2 linked regions of the Oryzias latipes genome follow. The protein of the gene in region 2 purifies or fractionates together with the protein of the main gene of each other region. This does not show direct contact. Links are inferred from orthologs where the notes say so. Each region holds a gene or a part of one and is shown on either strand. Other genes may lie near its edges.

Evidence for each region.
Region 1: the proteins of sos1 (region 2) and eps8 purify together in Homo sapiens (affinity purification with western blotting; 5 studies listed by BioGRID and IntAct, with this or other methods). This does not show direct contact. The link is inferred for Oryzias latipes from reciprocal best matches to the Homo sapiens genes SOS1 and EPS8.

What each region holds. Positions count from the first base shown.
Region 1 is NC_019881.2:23,585,324-23,588,975, forward strand, and holds part of eps8 (epidermal growth factor receptor kinase substrate 8), read right to left. Parts: intron 2,850-3,652; exon of another isoform or gene 2,794-2,849; coding exon 2,716-2,793; intron 2,599-2,715; coding exon 2,531-2,598; intron 2,336-2,530; coding exon 2,279-2,335; intron 1,382-2,278; coding exon 1,314-1,381; intron 1,242-1,313; coding exon 1,080-1,241; intron 1,055-1,079; exon of another isoform or gene 1-1,054. UniProt on the Homo sapiens protein: Signaling adapter that controls various cellular protrusions by regulating actin cytoskeleton dynamics and architecture. Depending on its association with other signal transducers, can regulate different processes.
Region 2 is NC_019859.2:117,424-121,175, forward strand, and holds the start of sos1 (son of sevenless homolog 1), read right to left. Parts: upstream 2,653-3,752; 5' UTR 2,198-2,652; coding exon 2,111-2,197; intron 840-2,110; coding exon 714-839; intron 409-713; coding exon 277-408; intron 68-276; coding exon 1-67. Other genes in the region: tmem178a (transmembrane protein 178A), read right to left, coding at 3,716-3,752.

The sequences.
Region 1 (3,652 bases), on a different chromosome or scaffold from region 2:
GGCAGCTGGGTGGAGCTGGGTGGAGCTGTGAGTCAGCGGCCGTTTGGATGTTTGTTCAGGGGGCGTAGAAACTCCAGGTCACCTGACCAACTCCCTTCAGGCCTGATCTCAGAGAGGATCCACCTGTTCTCTGCTCTACGTCTGCATGCAAACGTTCCTCTACACTTTACTGGCTTCCTTAAATCCAGAAGGTCTTTACAGAGCTGTACTTACAGTGGGTCGGCTGTAGGGGGCACTGCTGTATCAACATTAGCCCCGCCTTTTCTAGAGTGGTGAAACAGCTGGCCACGCCCATTTCTGCCACACAACCTTCCATCTACGTGAAAAGAAACTCACCTGTGTTCTCCGAGGATTTCCCCTGAAAATGTGACAAGATCCGACAAATGATCGCGTTTTACATTTTAAACGTTCAACTGCGTTTGACGTAATCTGACCGGAACATGAAGACACGGATAGTCAAAATAAATCTGAAGTGGGAGGAGCACACTGACCGGAGTTTACTCCGCCCACATCTACAACTTTCCTAAAACAGGAGAGGAGGAACAAAATTCAGTAAGACTTTCCCCCAAGGCTCCGCCCACCTGCCAATCAAAAGGAAATCTGTAACTAAGGTCTATCAAAATGAAAACATGGAACCCCCCGTCACCCAACCCTGCTCCGATTTCCTAAATGATTATAAAGAAAAGAAACACCTGATATCACCTGTAGATGTGTTTAGAGGGGAGCGAACGGGACGAATCTCCTTTCTGCCCTCTAGTGCTCATTTGAGGAACTGCAGGGTTTTCCTCACTGAAGCTACTTTGACATTTTAGAAAATTAGTAAGAAACCTGAAAGCATTTATTCATTTTTATAAAACGTACCAACATTATAATTAACTTTGTTTGGAAGTCAGTCAGCACAAGAAACAGCAAACAAAAGGTCAAAGGTCACCAGGTTTTTACACGACTTTACATTTAAGCTGCTTTGAAAAACTCATTTTCTTCTTTTTCCTGAAAAAACCAAGAAACCTTTATAAGACCCTCAATGCTGCTCCCCTGACAGCACCGTTTCTTCTAGGGGGGGTTCAGAAAAGCCTCACCTGAGTCTCCAGGTCCATCAGGCTGACCCCCCTCTCCTCCACCTGCAGCAGCATCTCCTGAGTCCACACCTTCCCTTTGGCGTCCAGCAGCCGCAGCCGCCTGACGCCGTCGTCCACCGAGATCATCCCGTCCTTCCGGTCCAGAACGAATGTCATCAGGTGCTGGACGGGACCAGAACGGAGGTTAGAGCCCCCGCAGCTAGAGGTTCTGCTGCTGGGCAGGGCGGGACTCACCTCCACCTGGTACCGCGACGTGTCCGTCAGGCTGTTGATGCTGGTTCTGGTGTAGCGTTTTCTGGGTTCTGGCAAAGAAGCGGAGCGGTTAACCGAGACCCTCCGCCTTCTCAAAGTCCATTTGGACACCCTTAAGGTCAACGGCACACGCAGACAGAACCTGCTCCAGAACCCAAAACACAAACAGGGCTTCTGCTGGAGGTCTGAAGAACCTCAGAGGTCTGGATGTTTGCATCTGTTCTACAGCGAGATGACGGACAAACACCACAGTTATGATGATGCCTTCAAGGACCACAGCTTCTTTGATCTGGTGGGTGTGGATTTTCCTGCAGGTTATCTGCCGTCTGAAGGGTTAAGTACATCAAATGTTCTGTCTGTTTTGTCACAAAGATGTCCACAAACCAGACCACATGCAGCAGAACCGTCCAAAGACCAGAGTCAGAGGGAAAGTCCGCAGACCAAAAGGATTCTGGGAGAAGAGAAACGTGTGAACGTTGTTTCAACACTTGTACTGATTTATGGGCGTTCTGTGTTTGTTATGCTTTTAGAAGCAGCTGGACCCTGAGATTCAGAACCTGTCAGGTTCTAAAGGATCCATCAGCTTCTTCAGCCCCGTTGAACGCAGGAAACGCAAAGACAAAGCGGCGTGGCGTCCATCAATCCCCGCCGCTGAAGTATCTGCTGCCTTCAGGCGCTGCAGAAGAACCGGACATCCTCCGCTGCTGTTATCAGCAGGAGCAAAGCGGCTTCAGCTGCAGCAGATAACGGACCAGCGCCAAGCACACGTGCAGAACCCTCAAGGATCAGGTTCTGGTCTGTGAACGTTCACGTTTCAATAAAGTTTTACTGTTGAAACAGTGAAAAAAACTATTTTAAATAAAGTTAAAGCAGAAGACAACATCTCACGTGCACACACACGCGTGCAAACACACACGTGCACACACACGCGTGCACAGTTGTCCTACTTTGAGTTTTCTTTTTGTGTTTGGACGACGAGCGCAGGAAGTACATTTCCTCTGATCCTGCAGACCAATGACAGCAGACACCAAAGTTCTGACCCACTGTCACAAACGGGCCGGAGCCACACCAGCAGCGGGACTACAGGAGTGACCTCGTCAGACAGAAACACAGAGAAGGTCTGCAGGTCCACCAGGAAGATAAAACTGGAGCTGACCCAGAACCAGGACCACGTTCCAGGTCCAACAGCAGAGACTCACCGTACAGAACTTTGGGACCGGGCTTGGCTTTGCTCCTGCGGGCTTCAGGAGACGGGCCGTCATGGCCGCTGCAAAACAAACAGATCATGTTGGACCTCCGTCTGCTCAGAACCGCTCTCTCTCTGTGACCCGCAGAACAGTCGTGGTTGGTTCTGTTCGTGACCCGGAGGATCAGCCGGACTCACTTGACGTGTGCGCTGGAGGAGGAGAAGCCGCCCGAAGACGCAGCTGCAGCTTCGTATCCGTTCATCCTGCAGGATCCACTGCAGCAGAGACAAGCAGCTGCAGTAATCTGATTACAACCTGTGAATCAGCTGATCTGTCGGCAGAGAACGATCAAAGACAGGAAACACAAACGGGTTTCATCAGAAAACGACCGACTGTTTGGACTTTGGTTCTTAGTTTGGTCCTGAATGTGAGCTCGGCACGGTGGTGGCAGTGTCATGGGATCAGTTATGTTCTGTCTGAACTCTGAAGCAGGTTTTTAGGCTGCAATACAGAAAGGAATTATGGGTAAATCAGTGACTTTCAACAGCAAAAGCAGGTCAACTGATGGTTGAACCCGATTGATCCAGCAGCTAACCCCCCCCCCCCCCCCCCCCCCCCCCCCCCCCCGAGCACACAGCTTTCCCCACAGATCTGCAGGGGTGTTGAGCTCTAGGATAAGAACAAAAGTTCTGACCCCCAGAATCTGGGCCCGTGTCTGTGCGCCTTGAGCTTCCTGTCCACCATCCCATTAGAACCAAACAAAAGGAGAGCCGGGGGGAACCCGGGGCACCGACCAGCCATGGGTGATTACTTTTCCCAGGACTCCCTGTTCTATTCCCACTTCACGCTAAACTTTGTTTCCATAGCAACCACAGACCAAGCATGTCTGCTGCTGTGAGAGAGAGATAGACGCCTGCAAGACCGAGAGCAGGAAAGAGAACCCAAAGTCGCAGGAAAAAAAGTCACTCATACACAAACACACACGTCATCACACACACGCACACAAACACACACACGTGCATATATACACACAAGCATGCACTCCCACAGACACACATTTACAAAAACAATAAAACAGAGGACAGAGGTCAAAGGTCACAAAGACGACAGTCGTCATATTTGAAGAACATCTGC
Region 2 (3,752 bases):
AGATGTACTCCAACACAGCTACCATGTACACGGACACCTGGTGCTCAATCTTATAGCCCAGAACCTCCTGAACACAATGCATGATGGGAGACAGAGAGATGCAAAAGTCCTGAGATCTTTTCAGTGCTCCAAACCGCGGCCCGCTTCCCCAAACTTTCTACTCTGTGGAAGCCAACAGCAAAGCTTCTTCCTGAAGACGATTCTGTCTGAGAGTCAGAGTTACTGATAAACATGGACAAGAGCGGAGGATGGAGAAAACACTGACAGGACGGTTACCTTCAGCAGGGGATGGATCTTATCAACCGGCAGAGACAGAGGGTTCCTTCTCTTCCTTTTCTCGATGGCCGCCTGAGCATCTGCAATCGCCCACTTGTCGATAGGATAAGGAAAACTCTTCTGGACCCTCTCCTAAGACAACCGACAGAAGGTGTGAGGACCAAGTGACCTGACCTGCAGGCTTGACCTCACTTAGGTGACTAAAGGTAAGAGGGTTTGTTTCCAGGTTTCAGCATCCCTAAGCCTGTAGGTCTGAATCATTGGTGGAGATTTCAAGGGCTTGTTGGTGGAACATGCATGTGGCCACGGCAAACGTGTGCACGTGTGGATGGGTGCAGGTGTGCACGTGTGTTTGTGTGCACATGTATTTCTGTGCATGTGTGTATCTGTGTATGTGTGCATGCGTGTATCTGTGCATGTGTGCACGTGTGCGTCACCTCCACGTCCTGCACTGTGCGAGGCTGGGCCTGACACAACATGCTGAGCAGCAGCAGGATCAGCTCTTCGATGTACTGCAGCGCCTCCTGCTGGGACTTCAGGTTGGGGTGTACCTGGTTCAGTACCTGCAGCGTGCAGCCACACACACAACGTTTGATCAATAATTAAACAAAACGAAATGACAGAGCAGGTTTGATCAGAACAAGCAGAAACACAGGCCTCATGGATATGTGCTGCCCCCCAGTGGAGGAGGACAGAAAGACACCTTTCTCTCTGAGTTTCTGTTGGTTTTAGCTTCTTCTGTGTTTCTTTTTTTTAATTTATGTTCACCAACAGGCCGAAACCCACTTATGGGCGACGGTCAGACTCTACACCGGGTTCAGGTCTGCATGCTGGTCCCACAGGAACCAGGTAAAGACCAGACCTGCTGCTCCTTTCATGCAGCTAAGAAGACCTTCTCTGGAAATGTTCCCGTCCAGAACCACAGCTGATGATCACAAACAGTTATTTTAGTCCAGTTTTAAAGTCGTTTAATCATAATTTAACCTTTTGGGTTTTAAATCCCATTAAATTAATACATGCAGGAGTCCAAACATCTGTCCTGACCCAATAGAACATCATCTGAACCCAGGAGACCTCAGTCCATCCAACCTCCCACATTTCCACCTGATGCACCGCTGGCAGTAGAACCAGAACCAACACAGAAACCATGAGCGTTACAAACCAGGTCCACATGGTGGTAGACCGTGTTGTGGGTCAGAAACCTGTCATCATTCTTTGAGTTCCTGTTGTAGTTTCTGCCTACCAGCTGGACTCTGCCATCATTAAATGGATCTCTCAGGACGCGGGCCTGATGACAGCGGTCAGAGGTTCTGATGGTGAGCAGAACTTATGAAACATGGATCCAGAGGGTCAGAGGTCAGCCACCTGGAGCGCTTCTACCCGGTCCAACCCACAACTTTGGAGGTCCAACAAAGAACTCTGGGACAGTGAGGAACAGATTTGCAGAGTGTTGATCTTCTAAATCACAAGAGAACCACATCAGTCCAGGTCGGATCGGGACTGAAGTGGTCCAGGTCGGATCGGGACTGAAGTGGTCCAGGTCGGATCGGGACTGAAGTGGTCCAGGTCGGATCGGGACTGAAGTGGTCCAGGTCGGATCGGGACTGAAGTGGTCCAGGTCCGATCGGGACTGAAGTGGTTCAGGTCGGATCGGGACTGAAGTGGTCCAGGTGAGCTGGAAGAGTCCAGAACCTGTAGCCTCCGGGGAGCAGGCAGACCCCGCTGCCCCCATCTGACGTCAGCCGTCCTGTCACGGAACGGCCCGGCTTACCTGCAGGGCCACACCTGGCTGCAGCAGCCGCCTACGTGCGTGCGTGCGTGCGTGCGCACCTACCTTCTCCAGGGAGGGCACCAGCAGGCCTCTCCACCGCGGAGCGTTGTCCTCGCTGCAGAAATCGAACTGCAGCTGGCCCGTCTGCATGCTCACACGCACGCGGCTCCGTTTGGCGTGAATTCTGTGCGCGGCTTTGCGGGTCCAGCTGCGCGGCTGAAGCCGGGGGCCTCACGACGTCCGGGATCCGCCGGGACCGCCGCCACCATCCTCGGCTAACCGTTAGCTCCGCGGCTAGGAGCTAGCTGGACCGGGCGGAGGGCATGGCTTGCTGCGCGCTCCCGGGCTGCGCGCTCCCAGCACAGGCTCGCCGGCGGCGGGAGGGAGGGGGTCTCTGCGTCGGTTACTGGGCGCGGAGGGGGGGGTCAGCGGAGCAAACGGCGCGCCGCGGCTGTCATGTCACCGTTGCGGCTGGGGGGGGGGGCTCCAGTGCGGCGCCTGCGGGTGGGGGCCGCGTGACACCCGGTCTGTCTCAACCAGGATCCGAACCGGAAGGTCGGACGGTCACCTGCTGACGGCTGCAGCGCTCCGGAGGACCGAACCGAACATGGCGAGATAGTGAGCATGCGCAGTGGGTAGTTGCTGACGTTCAGGGGCGGGGCTGCTGTAGAGCGGAGAATCAAACTGATCTGATGGGAATCGGACCACCGGAACATAGGAGCACGTGCAGGTCAGAACTCAAATAATAAACTCTGTCCTGATGTACGTTTTTGAAGGTTAGAAACAGAACCGGAACCAGGACTGACCTTGATCTGGGTCGGGGGGGTCGTAACAACCCCCCTCCGCCCCCATTAGCTTCAAAGTTCCAGAGTGGAGTCTGATTTGAAGATTCAACACTCAGAACCAGAACCAACTGAGGGACTCCGTACCAATGAGAAGAAACCACTCTGAGATCAGGTGGGCTTCAAGTATTTTATTTACAAATGGGGGGGGGTCAAGTGGTGTGTGGGTGGGGGTCAGGTTAAGTGGTATGGGGGGCCCTGTTCGGACCTTCTTACCTGCACTAAGGAGGTGTCTTGATCACCTTTACAAAAATCTGGTGCTGTTGAGTGAAAAAGGTTTGGACACATCTAAGTTCTGCTGACTTTTCAATGGACCGGACATGGGGATCACGACCCCCCCCCCCCCCCCATGTGTCTCCCACCTGTCTGTGGCCTGATGGGGGGGCTGAAATGGATCTGGGCTCATCTGGAGCCAAAAACTGCGCCTCCATGCAGTCAGAGAGGAGGCTCCATCATCGGACCTGAACCCGCCCCTCAAGATTCAAACTCACCAGATCTTCACCTGTGATCACACCTGTGTAAAAACCGCAGGGGGGGGGGGTCAGCCAAAATACATAATTTCACAATGAGAAACGGTCACTGGCTAACAGACACTGTAAGACCCGTCCAAGCCGGGTCGGACGGCGGTTCCTCTGACACTACAAACACTGTTCCTATCGAAGACACCCAGAAGGGGGCGCCATGCTCCACAGAAGCTTTGCAGCAGAGGTATGAGTCCTCTTGAGGTTCTCCCTCAGCAAGAGTCCAGAAGCCAGTGTAAATAAAACCTCTGCAGCCCAGTCTGGACCACGTCTCGGAGTCCGGTGTCCTGCTGATCACCAACAGCTCACACAGAAGATTCCCGTGCAGTTTTGGACCTCAGA